Linked DNA regions of Caenorhabditis elegans. The protein of the gene in region 3 interacts with the protein of the main gene of each other region in a biochemical or structural test. Each region holds a gene or a part of one and is shown on either strand. Other genes may lie near its edges.

Region 1 (3,170 bases), on a different chromosome or scaffold from region 3:
TAAGTAACATATTTAATGGTGAAGTAGCGCCAGTGTAGAGATTGCTTTTAAAAATTGACCAAATACACTCAAAATAATAAAACTGCGTGGCGTGTACTGCAGAAAACCTCATATTTAGGCCCCGCCTTTTTCTCGTCCACTCACGGAGAAAAGGCAAAAATTTGGGGACCAACCAATATCAGGCCGCCGACATCCTACGGGTTCCGCGCGCCGCTATGTTTAACTCGCTGTGGGCGTGGTGAGCTGTCTCCGCCCGCTGCGAGTTAAACATAGCGGCGCGCGGAACCCGTAGGATGTCGGCGGCCTGATATTGGTTGGTCCCCAAATTTTTGCCTTTTCTCCGTGAGTGGACGAGAAAAAGGCGGGGCCTAAATATGAGGTTTTCTGCAGTACACGCCACGCAGTTTTATTATTTTGAGTGTATCATAGTAATTTTTTTTAACCTTTGTTTTTTTCTTGTTAGAATCTAGGTTCTTTCGTTTCACTCGGATAATAGATATAAATGCATAAACCGAATTTATATTGAAATTTATCAAGCTTTTTTCCCGCACAAGTACATTCTGACTCGCGGGCTCAAAGTCACATTACACCAAATATCGTCAAGCTGTCCACTCTTCAGATTTATCAGGTGACCCGGAATGTTCCAGTAGGACGGTGTCAAGGCCATAAGCTGCAGGCAGCGTTGAGGTCTGGAAATATAAATGGATCAGGCTTGAAGACTAAAACCCTGCATACCCTCTTCCAGCTCCATGATCATTATCCGGTTGTCCAGGCCCGAATACCATAGCTTCAGTCCCAGTGGTATGCCCGTCTGTCCATCGGAACGCCGTCGCAGAGGTTCGCTGAGCACCAAGCCAGACTCCTGAGTGAGTTTTACCAGCGGCTACGTTCAAGCTAACGGCCTTGTTTGCAATCCATTCTCGTTCTTGATTGTTTTGAATTCCGGACAGGACTGCTCCGTACTTTGCGCATTCAGCAAGACCCCGGTAGTAGTCTACATCGCCGGTGACCACCTGGAAAAGAAAGGCCTCAGGGAGCTCTACGAAAACTTAAATTTACACGAAATTAGCTTGGACATGGGCTTAGGCTTAGACCTTGGTTTGGGCTTAGGCTTAAGCTTAGGTTTTTCGCTTAGGCTTAGGCTTAAGCTTAAGCTCAGGATTTGGTTTAGTTTTCGCTTATCAGGTTTATGGTATAATTTTTCAAATTTAAAACATTTCAGGTTAGAAAACTCACTCTAACACACCATGTCCCCTGTGGTCTCTTGAAAGTATGCCAGTGCTGTCCACAGGTGCCCGGTCGAGCCGGACGCCCACCTCCATGCTCTTCTGACGAGGAGTCACATGAGGAATCATCAAAATCTATAGCTGAAGTGGTTATGAAAACGAGAAAAAGAATCAGGAACATCTTGGTTCTTCAAAAGTTTGATCGGAAGTGCACTTAAATAGCCATGTTTGCAAACGTTTTTATTACCAACTGTTCTGCAGAAAGATCGCTTCCGATGTTTGTAGCTTCATCATTTTCATGTTTGGTGTCCAGAGTTTTAGGCTCAGGCTTAGGCTCAGGCTTAGGGCTCTGATTTCTATTGTTTCAAGAAAATGCAACAAATGATTCATTACTTGGTAATCTCATATTTCGTGATAACGACACTTTCGTGGAAATTCAAAACTTGATAATCCCTCGACGGATTGGCAACTCGATGGTTAAAGTTCACGAAGAATGCCTGATTGACATGAATCTCGATATGTGACGGCTGATTGATCAAAGTGACATTGAAATTGGCACCGACAGTATACGGATTGCCGCCCCATGTTTCACCGGTCTGCCACCCAGCCTCTATATTGCAATCCATGACTAGGTCATCGGCCACAGTCCCCGGCGTGCTTTAAATTATAACCCAGTTTCAGCACCACCAGGTAGTTCACCGGATCCGCAGAGCATAGCAGGAATCGTCCTTTAATCTTTTTTAATAGGAATTTTAATAAATCCACGGTTGAATCTTTGTATTTACTGGCTAATTAAGCTATTTTTTAGCTAATCGGACTATTCTGAACCACAAAACTACAAATATTTCAATAAACTGACAACAAAGGTTTCATTCAGCTAAACAAGTTATCTAGTAATTTCAATTTTCGAGATAATGACATTTCCGGAGAAAACGACGTGTTGATAGTCTCTCGATGGATTGCCAGTTCGATGATTATAGTTTGTGAAGAAAACCTGATTGACATGAATCTCAATATGCGTTGGCTGATTGACCATAGTAACATTGAAATTGGCACCAGCAGGAAATGGGTTTCCACCATATGTGTCAGGGGTTTGAAATTGCCCATTTTGCTCACGGGTTCGGACAACCTGTAAAATGAAGAAAAAGAAGTATTCAGAGGCAAGGACTGTTTTTTAAGCAACATGGCCTAAACATGAGGTTCTAAGCTCAACGGCCCACATTTCTTAGAAGTTAAAGACTCACATGGCCCAGATCAGGCTGTGACGCGAAATGAAACAGCCACGTCTTTGCTTGATCCAAGTTAATGGACCATCTACCTTGTCCAGGAACACCATAAAATCGGAGGACCTTGCCTGTATCCCAATATCCTCCAGGAATCGGATAACGTACATCGGGCCCAAACGGCCCATTAAGAGTTTCCATATTTTCTACTGGCTTAGGTGTTGGTACGGGCCTTGGAGGCCTTGGAGGCCTCGGTGGCCTATGCCGCCCACCACCACGTCGCCCACTGTAATCCTCGAAGGAACCATCGTCGAACCTAGGCCCTTTTCCTCCACGTGGCCTATGACGATGTTCTTCAGAGGAACTGGAGGATGTTGAATCATAGTGGACTATTTTTATTTTCTTAACTTTTTTATCGCCGTTATCAGAAAAATATCCAGAAACTAGCACCAGAAAGGTGAGGAGTAGAAGAACATGTAAAAGCCTCATTGAAAAGGAACTTTTGAGGTTTCAGCGGAGGAGTACATGTTTTATAGCTTGTCGACTTTAGTCTCAAACTTTATGTGTGACTTTCAACGTCTATATCGACAAGATTTTATTATACATATGTGGAAGTGTTCTATGATCACTTCTCATGTTGCACTGAGTGGACTTTGGAGACGTGCATAAAGCGCATGACTCTAAAGCCCACGCGGTCTCTGAGCAGGGAGCGTCACGTCCT
Region 2 (3,957 bases), on a different chromosome or scaffold from region 3:
CACGACGGAAGCGTCAAAACTCGCAGAAACTAGACATTTTCCGTCATTTGAAAATGCGACTGATCGAACCGCCCGTGTATGACTGTCATCCAGTGTTGTACGACACTCCAGACGCATTTTTGAATCTGAAATTTGGGAATTTTTAGAGATTTTCGAATTTTTTAAAGGAAAAAATCTGTTTTTCGATAGATTTCCTTCGTTTTTATGTTTTCCACACCGCTGATCACGATTTTCTGCACAATTTTCAATAAAAATTGACCAACCAGGCTCTCCAACGAGGCTCCAAACCCTGACAGCCTTATCGTCGCCGCAAGAAGCCAAAATTCGTCCTCCATGATGCCAACACGTCATCCAAACTCGACTTGTGTCATCTTTCTCGCCTTGGTGATAAAATTCACCGATTTGTCGCAGCATTTTCCGGTCTGAAAATTGAAAATAAATTTAAAAACTTTAGAAACAATATTTGAAGGAAAATTGCGAATAAAATGAGCGTTTTGTGTGAAATTCCGGGTGAAATTGATGGAAAATTTAAAAATAGCTGATTTATATTTTTAAAATAGCAAGAATCTTAAGAAAAACTAGAAGAAATGAGAAAATTGCTGAAAAAATCGCGATAAAGAATTATCCAAAAAATTCCAGTGCAGTCGCGCTCCATCGTCACGCGTTAGAGAGTGAGAGGGCGCAGAGAAGATAAGACGAAAAACGGCGCGAGACTTGGAGACCCGAAGAACTCGGGGGATGTCCAATTGGGGGGATTACCAACTCGGGGGATTGGCCCCGCCCAAAGAACCGTGGCTTGCAATACGCCCATTTCTGCAACTGCCGCACGGTTTTAAAATTATTTTTTCTTGTTAATTCTCGCTCTATTGAGAAAAATACAGTTTTAAAACCGTGCGGCAGTTGCAGAAATGGGCGTATTGCAAGCCACGGTTCTGTGGGCGGGGCCAATCCCCCGAGTTGGTAATCCCCCCAATTGGACATCCCCCGAGTTCTTCGGGTCTCGAGACTTGAAAATTAGTTTTTTATTTGGATTCAAATTTGAACTGAATCAGGAAAACGCTCTGAAATCGAAAGGAGAATTTTATTTTTCAAACTTTGGAATGAAAAAGTATAAAATTTATCATTAATTCGTGAAAATGTGTGCAACGGCAATTTAAAGGCACATACACAACTTTTCTGGGCGGGTCTCGTCACGATCTTTGTCATTTCTAAAGCTACAGTTTCCAAAAAAGCTCAAATGATTGAAAATGCAAGCATTAATGTTTAATATTGAGTTGGAGACCAGGAAGAAGAAAACCATTAAATAAGTGGCCGAGTTTCTTATTTCGCGGCCAGGTTCGTTCAAAAAGTTCAAACATCGCGCAAAATCTTTGAAAATTGCAAAAATTAATGTTTGATGCGGGAAGTTGTTGTAATTTTGCAAGCATTTGCAATGAAATGAGACCCCTCCGAACGGAGGGGTTGATCAATATAAAACAGCGATTTTTTTAAAGAAATTTCATAGATTTTTTTTTTGGTTTGTCGATTGTTTAAACATCACTTTGTTTTCTTAAATTATCAAAACTTTTACAATCCCATTAGCAATCTGCGCACAGTTCCCGAAACCGTGCGCAGCTTACAAAATGGGCGTGGTTTAATATGCCTTTAGGAATGAGATCCATCCTGCTACTCCTACTGGCGGCATCCATAGCTTCAGCTATCTTTGCTCCTGGAGCCAGCGGAGGTTTTGGAGGTGGAGGTTTTGGGTCACGATCATCATCATCATCATCAGAAGAGGGACGAGGACATCACGGTCACGGCCACGGCCACCATCATGGAAGACCCCCACGGCCACGTCCACCACGTCCGCCAGTATCAAGAGAACCCGAATGTCCAAGTGATTGGTTGTCGTTTGACAGACCTCAGGGAGTCTGGTGTGTCAAGGTGAGCGAGCTACAAGTGCTAGCTCTTTATAGTTTGTAGTCTTACAGGTCTTCTATGAATCACTCACTCAGCCCATCGCCGAGAGTAGGTGCCAGGCACAAGGGGCCACATTGTCCGGATACCAGAATGCCAATGAGCGAATGCAAGTTTCATGTGAGATTTGTAGTTGTTGTAGGCTGGGACCTATCAACCATTATCACGAGGTGCCAGGCTGTCCAATTACGGATTGATCTACAAAAAATGCGGGAATTTTGTGCCCAGCAAAAATATGTGACGTCAGCACGTTCTTAACCATGCAAAATCAGTTAAAAACTCTGCGTCTATTCTCCCGCATTTTTTGTAGATCTACGTAGATCAAGCCGAAATGAGACACACTTTGACACCACGTGGAAAATCGGACTAACGGGTATCCGAAATCTGGGCAATACAGTGTCTATTTTTAAGGTGATACCGAGGTTTTTCCATAATTTTTGATTTGCTACAATGCTATGGCACACGTGGAGTCAGAAAGTCCCATTTCGATTTGATCTTCAAAAAATGCGGGAGGGGAGACGCAGACATCTCAACTGATTTCGCATGGTTAAGAGCGTGCTGACGTCACAACTTTTCTGGAAAAATATTTCCGCATTTTTTGTAGATCAAACTGTAATGAGACAGCCTGACACCACGTGATGGCACTGTTTCTTCTGGTAAATTATATGAAAACTCAAAAAATGAACTTTGAAAAACCGGATGTCCGGTTTCCTAGACGAAATTTTATTTTACTGGAAACACTTCAGACGCTGCTCGTACACTTACAAACCAGAATGGAGGTGGCTTAGCCGAAGTTTGGGTTGGAGCCTATAGAAAAGCTAGATGTCCAAATAAACCTTCATGTACCCCTCTTGACACTTTCGAATGGACTGATGGACATACAACTGGTACTGATGGATTCCATTATCCGGGTACCGAGCCAAATGGATATGTCAACGAACATGGGTTAGTACAGATTTTAACTACTAGTTTATAAATCGTAAAGTTACATGGAGCTCTTTTCAGACTTTTTTTTGAGCCGCAGAGCACCTCTCTAAGCCTAAATCTCGGCTTGTCAAGCTAATAAGCCTAAGCCTGAACCAAAGCCTGAGCCTACTTCTAAGCCTAAGCCTCTGCCTAAGCCTAAGCCTATGCCTCACAGCTTGAGCCTAATCCAAAGCCTAAGCTTAAGCCTAGGCCTAAAACCTTTAAAATTTCAGGGTTACCTAAATTAAATTCATTCCATTTTATTTCTATAATATTCAGACAACAATATTGTATGGAAATGCATATTCACCCGAGCTCTGACACTGAAGCGGCTCGCTACGGATATCATCAAGGAGATTTGGATGATATGCTTTGTGTTGTACCGGTCAGACTCTATGCATGTGGAAAAGTACCCGAACAAGTATGAGATTTTTGTGTTGGAGTTTCTTGAATGGGACGCCGAAACTCATACTTATAAAACCTTTATATGTCATGAAGAAATCTATGAAATTTGGCAATTGTAGCGACCACTGTGACTGAGTTCGTGGCGAGACCCACTTGAAAAAAAAACAACGTGTGCCTTTAAACTGACGTGCCAAATTTGCGAGAAATGACGATGTATTAGAACGAAAACACGAAAAAAATTCGTTAAAATAGGGACAATCCATCTGTTTGAATCCCCTCCAAAAATAGAACTGCAAGACCAATCAGCGATTTGCTCCGCCCACTTTTCGACCAATCAGGATTTTTTTCCAAAACTTTTACTTATTTAAAATTGTCTTTTTTTGGAATGTTTTAGGTCTAATTATACAAAATATCGACTATCATGGCAACCAAAAAAATTCATTTTTTCGAAAACTTGGTGCAATCGCGCTCCAAAGCAAAATAAAAACGCTCCGCCCATCATATTTAGGGTCTCGTTAGGAAGAAAACCGTATTTTTCCCCCGTTTTCAAGCATTTTTCGTCATTTTTTTTTACGGAAAACTTAACAAAAAAATGCTTTAAATCAGCAAAATTAATCTAAAAAATTCGAA
Region 3 (6,167 bases):
ATCATATAGTTTTTGTTTTGCTTGAAATTTGTTTTTCTCTGATATCATCATTCTGACTACAATTTGAGAAAGATTATTTTTTCTTGATCCAATGTTTTTATTTTATGGTTAGAAAATAGAAAGAAAAAATCTTTAAATTTTGAATCAGATTTGGAATTAAAATAGAAATATTGAAATTTCAGATTCGTACTTATTTTTCATATTTTTCTCTCTATGTGCAATGTTTAAAAGTGGAGTAGCGCCAGTGGGGATTGTTTCTAAATAAACCTATAATGATCCAAAACGACCAAATATCATAATCAACCACTCCTTTTTTTTCCGGACAAAGTTCTGGAAAATTGACAAATTTTTGAAAAATATGAGCTTTTGAGGAAATCCAAAGCAATGTCGTATGTTTTGACTCTTACAATGTTTAAATCCAAATAAATAAAACAAAATTACAATATAAAAAATGCAGAAAAACAAATTTTTTTTTGGTCGAAATCCAAAATTATGAGTGGCAAAAACTGAGTAATTGTCACTTTTTGACAGTAAATAAAAAAATTTTGAAAACTTTTTTGAAAAGTTTTATTATGATATTCGGTTATTTTGGCACCATAGGAATGGTTTTTAACAATTTCCCCCTGGCGCTACTCCACTTTAAGATTTTAAAAGCTTATGTAAAACCACACGTTTGATCGTAAAACGTTTAAGCCTAGTTTATTTGAGCAGTAAATATATCTGCATGGGAGCAAAATTGATTTTAATTATGAGTTTTTTTTCAAATTAGTAACAAATTAACAAACTTGAATTGGTCCGATTTATAAATTTTGATAAAATAAGTGTTGTTTTTCCAATTAAAAAAACTATTTAGTAAAAGTATTGTCGTTGATTTTTCCTCGTCGCTAATTGAAATTTCCTGTCAAACTTACAGTTTTTGTTTAATTTTCTACATAAAATATTCTCAAAAGCGAACCAAATTTTCTGTTTTTTAAACGGATAATAAATCAAATTTTGGTGCTCATCTCTTATTAAAGGCTCATAATATACATATAACGGATCATTTCTAGATGTGGGATATCAAAAATCTCAATCTCGTTCTCCACCCTGACCACATCCCAAATGATGACCCAGCTAATTTTCCAAAAAGTCCCATTTACCACCAATAAGTTCGGTGACGCAAGGTGGGCAATCCTCCGTCAATTTCTTGCTTCCCAGCACTTTACGAGCAAACACACACAGCGACTCTGCCGAAGAAACGAACCACACACACCTTTGACGTTCCCAGGCCCTTCCCTCCACATCATTCGCCGATGTTTACAGCCTCTTCGCCTCTCCAATGTTTTGTCGTTTTTACAATATACAAGGTGTGCGGGTCTGTCAGTTTAGGAGTGGATGGAGGAGGAGGAGGTGGTTGATGGCGTGCGTGTGGTGATGTTTCTCGAAAACAGTGTGGCAGTTTCTTTTTCTCTCCCCCCACTTGCCCTCTTCTGTCCATTAGAAGAAACTTTAATTGAATTTATAGGACTAGAATTGAATTGTAATTGGTATATATTGCTGGAGTAAATTATTAATTAATCGCTTTGATCTCTTGTTTCCTCATTCTACCCCATTATTTATCTATAATAGCTTATGAACCTCACCCCATAAATGCTCATTTTGCAGTGTCACAAAACTGGGAGCCGGCGTTTGATGAAGCTGAAACCAGCAAAGAGCAAGAAGTGAGACGAGAAAAGTCCAGAAAGACATGCGGTGCAATATAAAGCGATTATTCACTTTGGCGATCGGAGTTTTTGCGGCTACACTGGTTATAATCTCGTTTTCCAAGGACAACTATGAAAGTAAGTTCTAAAATTGTATATGTGTTGTTTATTGGTTGAAAATGATTATTTGAATTCGCTAGAAAGGAATAGTGGCGATAGCAATCGATAAAACAAGAGAGAAACTATGCCTAAATGTGGCCTATAACATGTGGGAGTTTTGTGACAATTTTGTCTTTATTGTCTATATGAAAATTTAGATCAAATCTCAATTTCCGAAAAAAATGGAAAAACTTTAGACATCTTTGAATACTATTTTAATCAACACTTTTCCACAAAAGTTTTTATATTGTTCCTAGAAAAGTATTAAAAAAGTAGTAGAAAACTTTTTGACAATGACACGTTGGAAAAAATTACAAAAAAATGTTTATGAACTTTGTATTTTCTTGAAAATCTGGCAGTTTGCCAAAAATTTGATTGCAATTTTTAATAAGTCTGAAACGTTCTACATATATAGATTTTCGTAGTTTACCCATTTTGATAATATTTTTACTAGGCCTATTCGAACTTTATAATATTAAAGGCGGAGTAGCGCCAGTGGGGATATTGTCTAACTACACTAATAATGATCCAAGAAGACCGAATATCATAATAAAACACTCCAAAACATTTTTAGATTTTTTATAATTTCCGATCAAAGTTTTGGCAAATTTCCACAGTTTTGAAAAATATGAGCTTTTGGTGAAATCTGGAGCAACGTCGCATGTTCCGACCCCTGCAATGTTTAAATCCTAATAAATAAAACAAAATTAAAGCGTAAAAAATGTAGGAAAAAATAATTTTGGTCGACTTCCAGTATTATAAGTGGCAAAAACTGAGTAATTGCCACTTTTTGACAGTAAATAAAAAAATTTAGAAAACATTTTTGAAAAGTTTTATTATGATATTCGATCATTTCGGCATTTTAGGAATAGTTGTTAACAATTTCCCCACTGGCGCTACTCCACCTTTCAATTATCTCTCTTTTCTAACAGTTCTTATGATAACTATATTTATTAAACTCTGGGCCTGTATGACTAAGTTGATAGTTTTAAACAAACCATTCACAAGGTTTCTCCTAAATAATCTTGCATCCATTTTCAGGAGAATGGAAACAAGGACCTCAATCAAACGAAGCACGAGCTGTAGGCCACCAGAGTCCCGACTTGTTTCCAGTCGGACAAAATAGTCTACCACACCAGCCAATTCCTCCAAGCCTTGGCGAGAAGGATCTTAGTGATCCATTCAACTTCTTGTTTTCATCTAACAAAATCACTTTACGCAAACTTTATGATCTCACTAAAAATGTAGATTTTGATCAGTTAAGGCAGAACGAGTGCAAGAAGAACATCACGCTTTCAAAGTTCTGGGAGAAGTCTGAACAGTAAGTTTTATATTTTGAAATTTCAAAAATTGAAAATGAAAATGAAAATTTTAACACCAGCTGCCAGCAAAAAAAAATCTCATCACTGTTTCAGGAGAAATGTGCCGGAAGATGACAACTGGGAGAGGTTCTACTCAAACATTGGAAGTTGTTCGGTGTACTCGGATGATCAAATGATTGACAACTTGCTGCACGATCTCAACACAAGTCCCATCAAACACGTGCACATTATGGATGGAGGCACTCAAGTGAAATTTGTGTTCACCTTCAAAAACGATAAGCAGGCCGTGTTTAAGCCGATGAGGTTTGATGAACAGAGAACACCGGAAAATAGTTGTTTTCTTTCTTTTTCAGATTTGGACGCGATTATGAATCGGATCCGAATCATTTCTACTTCAGTGATTTTGAACGACATCATGCAGAAATCGCAACTTTCCATTTAGACAGGTTAGTGGATTAAATAATGGATTTGTTTTTGTTAGAGATGGTTATCAATTTTTTTTTTTAAATCGGTCAGTTGAATTTCAGAGTGCTCGGCTTCCGACGAGCAATCCCCACCGTTGGACGAGTTCTCAATATGACAACTGAGCTGTTCGAAAAAGCAGAGAAAAAACTCAAGAAGACTTTCTTCTTCTCTCCAGGTACAGTTGACATCAAGACACCAAACCTGTTCACCACATCAATTTTATAAAAATAATTCCAGCCAAAAACTTTTGCTTCGTGTCACGATGCGATTATTACTGCGACACGACACATGCAATTTGCGGTCTTCCTGATATGAAGGAAGGCAGTGTGCAAGTGTTCTTACCCGACGAGTCAGCAGTTCCTCGGAAGCATAATAGGAGTCCGTATAGACGGTAGGTTGAAGGCCGATGGATAATAAAATAGCTAGCAGACTGTTTTCAGAACCTACTCGAAAAAGAATCAAGTAGCTGAATGGCAGTCGAGTATGAATTATTGCACGGATAAGGTGAAAACCAAGCGACAATATGCTCATGGAAGAAGGTTACTTGATCTGGTTGATATTCATATTTTGGATTATTTAATAGGTAAGAATTTGCAGTTGTCAAATTTTGAACATAAAAAACCGGTGGTGTTTGCACCCTCCGAATGGATGGTAAATATAGAATAACTGTACGGAATTTTTTTTTCGTATTTCTGACAGTGCTACGAGTATTAAAGTTTCATAACTGTTCTGTATGAGGAGAGTAATTGAAAGACAGCAACTGTACAATATAGAATTTGCTGCTCACAGTGCTTTTTATGGACCTCGTTCAATGTCGGGTGCACATTTACCACAAGTTTACTAACATTTTATTATTAACCAAAGACTAAACTACAAACATCCAGGAAACCAAGACCGTCATCACTTCGAATCCTTCAACGTGTTCAACGATCTTCCTTCCTATGCGATCCATCTCGACCATGGTCGAGCATTTGGCAGATCTGACTTTGACGATGACGACATCATTCTCCCGCTCCGACAATGCTGCATCCTACGTCCATCCACTTTCCAGACCCTTATGAATTTCTACAGTACACCAAAGTCACTGACGAAAGCCCTACACGAGTCATTATCGAAAGATCCAGCCCATCCGATTTTGGCTTATAAGCATTATCCGGCAATGGAAAGGCGGTTAGCAAAAAGTAAGTATTGAAATTATATTGAAAGGTTACCGAAAAACCTGAAAAATATTTTCCTGTGAAAATTCCAATTTGGGAATACAAAACTTAAAGAAAAAAAAACAATTTTCAGTTATGTCTCACATACTGGAATGCTTCGAAAGCCGGGGAGTTGCCGAAGTTCTAGTTGCCGAGTACAACAACCCCGATGTCTCAGACGCCGAGCAAAACGACGAAGAGCAAAGCGAGGAGCATCAGGATAAGAAGGATGATAAGAAAACTGTTTAGTCGTCATTCGTTAGGTCTTCTCAATTTTACCAAGGTCATGTAGTAGCATTTTAAATTTCCCTCTTAAACTTCAATGTTTCTTTGCGTTGCATTCGGGTCTCGAGCTTCTTTCACTCTCTGTTATTGTTGTATTTTTTCTTTTCACTTCCCCCCGTTTTTTAAACCCACAAGAAGGTATCCCATCCATCGCTCCACGGTTTCTCTCTGGTCAAACATTCATTTATGAGGGTCATATTATGTAGGTCAAATCAAAAACAAATCGGTGTTATAATATCGAAAAAATTTCTCGAAGAATTTGAAAAGTAACCTGATAGTTGTTTTGTGTAGAATTTCTGTTGAATATTATGATTATATATTCTCAGCTCTTTTTTTGTCATTTCTTTTTTTTTCCTATTGAATATCATACTTCTTTTATCAAAAGACGCAAACTTACTGGGTATATAATTCTCGCTGAGCAATGTGGCTGCAGTGCTCCATTTCTTGTCAAATCGGTTGTTTTTTTTTCTACTTTCAGGACGAATCATAAATGTTGTGATTAAATTGTTCTGTGTTTTTTTTTTCATTTCCAGTACAGGAATTGTTATTTTCAGAGATCAAGTTTCAAGGAATTTTTTAAAATTTTTTTAAAAAAATTTTAGTTTCAAGTAATTAAAATTTTGACAAAAAGTGGACCCTAATGACCGAATATAACTGTTCAATATTGCTAACAATTTTCAAAATTTCAAAAAAAATTTCAAAATTTCAAAATTTTTTATGATTTTTCAACTTTGCAAAAATTAAAAAAAGCGGCCAAATTAAATTTAAATTCCCGCGCAAATGAGTGACGTCATTTTCAATATTTTCGCGTTTTCTGGCTTAATTTACCAGGTTTCCTTGATTTCATCTTCTGCATTTGAGTTAAAATTCTGTTAGTCAATTTTTCGAACACTTTTCTTTAAAAAAATATTATAAAAAATATTAAAATTGTCGATTATTAGGTTGATTTTGAAATTTCCGCTTTACGGAAAAGTAATTTAAAAATTGACAAACGGTGTTTCTAATCAAATGCTAAAGAAAAAATCATGAAAAACAAATGCATTCAGCCAGAAAACGAA
Region 4 (3,423 bases), on a different chromosome or scaffold from region 3:
TTTAATCTTCACTGTCATTTGGCTAATCCCTCGCCCTTACAACTACTGGTGGATAAGAACTTCATTATATTGTGATGGGGTATTTTAAATTTTAAGATGAAACCTTACAATGATAAAATTATAATTACAGAAAAGGAACGACGAACAAAAATACTTGGTTATTCCCATGCTAACGACAATAACGGATTCAGGCCTTGGTAATTTATTTAGATATATGCAAACCAGTTTAAATCTTTCCTTAACTGCTGTAAGGCCATACTAAAAGTACCCAAAAGTTTTGAAAATAAAGTCGGAATAATTAAAAGCTCCAACAGTCATGATAACGTATATTTTTTGTAATATAGAAATATACAAAAATTTCAGGAAACCAACTATTCGAAGTAGTTTCCTTACTTGGAATGGCAGAGGTGTTAAACAGAACTGCGATATTCAACAAAGACGACACAATGCTCAACGAAAAGCTCAGTTTCTTCCGAGAAACAGTTCCACGTGTAGCCGAGAAGGTGGCCTCGATGCCTATTGAGGTATGCCTTACGGGCCTTAAAAAATGCACCTTAAAAACCTAATGTGTAATAATTGAGGTTGACACCAGGTCTGGTACCAAAAAATAAATTTGAACCAAAAAACAAAGAACCGGTGAAAAAGTGAAAATTTTAGGTTCTTTTTGTTCCAAAAAACCAAAAAAAAATCAATTGTTTTTCAAAATAACAAAATAGGTCCCAGCTTTGGTTGGCACGGCATACTTACCTGCTATAGACTCTATGTGAAGATATAAGACAATCAAACATCCTTCACTGTTTTAGATCTCAAAGTCCGCTCGATTCGTCGCACCAGTCGCCTGCTGTTACTACCAATACACGGGCCTGCTCACTTGCGATCAGAGCAAGTTCCTGGTCATTGATGGGATGCATTTCCAGGTGAGAACTACGACCGCTAGGTAAACTATGATATTAGCTAGATATGTTCAGAGTTACAAATATTTTGCACCCATCGAATCTACCATCAGGCAGTTGTTGAAGCCAACCCCGGAAGAACTAGCCAGAATTTCAATGAAGAATCAGGAGGAAGGTCGTCATGGGTACCACCTAATTTATATTCAACAAAACTTAAAATCTTTAATGTTTAGTACCTGCGTGCACGTTCGTCGTGGAGACTTTGTCGCAGACTCGCAGCACACTGGGACAGACGAAACATTTACTATCAAGGCAATCGAGTATTTGTTCACTAAATGTTAGTAAAAATTTTACCGGAACAGTCTGGCTGCAGTTATAAAACTCCCATTTTTAGACAGTGGAACTATTTACATGATCAGCAACGATCCAGACTGGGTGGGAGAGCATATTGTGAACCATGTCGCTTTTCGAAATGATATGAAAGTGCTAAGAACTCCCAACAATCGAGCCATTGATGATCTCTATTTTTCGCAGGTTTACTGTGATTCTGTTCTGATAACTGGTAGGTGTAAAGGTATTGAGAGAATGAGAAATCAAATTATTTTCAGCCCCCTCTTCCACGTTTGGCTGGTGGATCGGATATCTGTCAAAAAATCAATCAGCAGTGTATTATCGAGATATTCGAGAAACCACTGATGAGGTATTTATTGGGCGTATTCCTAAAATATAAAGTTTTTTTGTTCAGGTGAAGTACCAAATGGTCGAAGAGGATTTCTTTCCAGAAACTTGGACAAAACTGCGGATTTCTGATATGCTTTAAGCTAACATATTAGTGATAGTTGTTTGTTGGTTTTACACCTTATATTAATAAAATAGTTTTTTTAAAAATTCATTGCTACTTAAAAACTGATCAGGAACACTCTGAATGTTTTATGTCGTATGCAGATGTATAATACTACTACAAAAAATGTACAGTGTACGGTAATACCACGTTTCTCTCTGTCCCGATCACCTTTTTCCAAGCGATAAAAACCAGCATCAGTATAAAATACAAAGTTTTATGAGACAACCAGCAGAGTTCCGTATCAAAGATGCATCTTGCGACGCCAGTCGTGTTTCTTTTGCTTTTTGCAACTATAACCATCGCTATCGAATTTGATGGTGGTAAAGGAGGTGGAAGAAGACGGCTTGATTTCTCTGATTCTTCTTTATCTTCATCTTCCGAAGAACATAGACATAGACCCCCGCATCGGCCGAGGCCTCCAAGACCCTCAAGACCAACAACTCCGAGAGGTGAATGTGACGATGGATGGTTGAGATTCGAGAGGGATCACGAAATCTGGTGTATTTTTATAAGTGATTCTGGATTTAACAAGAATTCAATTCCTTGTTAGATTGCCTATCCGAGGATCACAAATGCTATGCTTACTCAACCGACTGCTGAAACCCTCTGCCAAACAATGGGTGCCACGTTGACAGGATATCAAAATGATAATGAGCGAGTGACCACTGCAAATGAAGCACTGAAAAAACTCGTAGCTGCCGGACAATCTACCATTGCCGGTAAGCCTATATCTCAGTTTTGCAATTTCAGTATAATTATGTTCATCTATGTGGCTTGGAGCGACAAATGTACCAGCATGCAGATACCAAAGCTGTGGACCTTATAACACATTTACATGGACCGATGGTCACACGAATGGAACTGCAGGCTTCAGCAAATGGGGAGTTGGACAACCCGATAATCGTAACTATGGGTCGGATCTAATATTATTTTAAAGACCATCAATTACTATTTTCAGAGGACCTACAATCTGTCTTCAACAATTCATCATGACCCCTAACTGGGTCGGACTTCGAGGAGACCTCGAGGAATGGAGAGCTGCTTTCACCAATGGAGATCTTGATAGATATGGATGCCTAGACGCTCCAGGACTGCCCCAGACAAAAATGTACGCTTGTGGAAAAGTCGGGGTCAGTCGAAGATCACGTGGATAAATTGTGACATATGAAATATTAATGAAGTGTTTTCTTACGAGTGTGTTTTTTCTTTCCTGGAGTAACTTGCCCGGCCCAACTGTTCGGCACATTGATTTTCATTTCCAGTGAACTCATTGTATTGCGATCAAGCAAGACACTGCCCGATTCCGTTTTCCGCGTACCTCTTTTTAGATCTGCTATCTACGCGGAAAATTCGATAGTGCGTGCGTTTCTTGAAATTCTTCGGACCATATTTATTATCGATTTTCAATTTAAAAATGATTGGAAGGTTAGTTTTTATTTGGAAAATATTTAGTTGTGCATGAATCGTATGTAAGCTTGTAACGTTTTGATAAATTTTGATTTTTGTCTTCTTTTAGACCACTTCTTTTTTTTTTGCAAAAATAACTTTAACAAATTCAGGACCACTTCGAAAAAACTTCCGTTGCTCCTGACTTTTGCGATTTTGACGCTGTGGATTGTTTTCGAGTTTACAGAATTCGAGTTTCTGTACACAAAGTCGCAGTTTCAAGTGGAAGATTTTAATGTG

What was found.
Region 1: of the proteins of famk-1 (region 3) and clec-100, one has a biochemical effect on the other in vitro, tested with the Caenorhabditis elegans proteins (one study listed by BioGRID).
Region 2: of the proteins of famk-1 (region 3) and clec-104, one has a biochemical effect on the other in vitro, tested with the Caenorhabditis elegans proteins (one study listed by BioGRID).
Region 4: of the proteins of famk-1 (region 3) and clec-110, one has a biochemical effect on the other in vitro, tested with the Caenorhabditis elegans proteins (one study listed by BioGRID).

The regions. Positions count from the first base shown.
Region 1 is NC_003279.8:11,233,770-11,236,939, forward strand, and holds clec-100 (C-type lectin domain-containing protein), read right to left. Parts: upstream 1,408-3,170; coding exon 1,237-1,407; intron 1,014-1,236; coding exon 736-1,013; intron 690-735; coding exon 533-689; downstream 1-532. Other genes in the region: F46A8.8 (Galectin), read right to left, coding at 2,113-2,355, 2,471-2,938.
Region 2 is NC_003279.8:12,857,849-12,861,805, forward strand, and holds clec-104 (C-type lectin domain-containing protein), read left to right. Parts: upstream 1-1,644; 5' UTR 1,645-1,650; coding exon 1,651-1,923; intron 1,924-1,970; coding exon 1,971-2,076; intron 2,077-2,702; coding exon 2,703-2,901; intron 2,902-3,201; coding exon 3,202-3,349; 3' UTR 3,350-3,445; downstream 3,446-3,957. Other genes in the region: ciao-1 (putative cytosolic iron-sulfur protein assembly protein CIAO1 homolog), read right to left, coding at 1-125, 264-414.
Region 3 is NC_003284.9:15,208,737-15,214,903, reverse strand, and holds famk-1 (Extracellular serine/threonine protein kinase CeFam20), read left to right. Parts: upstream 1-1,644; 5' UTR 1,645-1,671; coding exon of another isoform or gene 1,672-1,704; 5' UTR 1,705-1,726; coding exon 1,727-1,820; intron 1,821-2,882; coding exon 2,883-3,162; intron 3,163-3,256; coding exon 3,257-3,466; intron 3,467-3,516; coding exon 3,517-3,609; intron 3,610-3,690; coding exon 3,691-3,803; intron 3,804-3,865; coding exon 3,866-4,019; intron 4,020-4,068; coding exon 4,069-4,211; intron 4,212-4,512; coding exon 4,513-4,809; intron 4,810-4,918; coding exon 4,919-5,073; 3' UTR 5,074-5,615; downstream 5,616-6,167. UniProt on the Caenorhabditis elegans protein: Golgi serine/threonine protein kinase that phosphorylates secretory pathway proteins within Ser-x-Glu/pSer motifs.
Region 4 is NC_003279.8:13,202,513-13,205,935, forward strand, and holds clec-110 (C-type lectin domain-containing protein), read left to right. Parts: upstream 1-1,984; coding exon 1,985-2,235; intron 2,236-2,301; coding exon 2,302-2,456; intron 2,457-2,517; coding exon 2,518-2,650; intron 2,651-2,695; coding exon 2,696-2,891; downstream 2,892-3,423. Other genes in the region: F17B5.6 (L-Fucosyltransferase), read left to right, coding at 1-79, 131-197, 364-524, 804-917, 969-1,078, 1,127-1,230, 1,288-1,455, 1,502-1,593 and 1 more; ZK1225.1 (Core-2/I-branching beta-1,6-N-acetylglucosaminyltransferase family protein), read left to right, coding at 3,152-3,162, 3,297-3,420.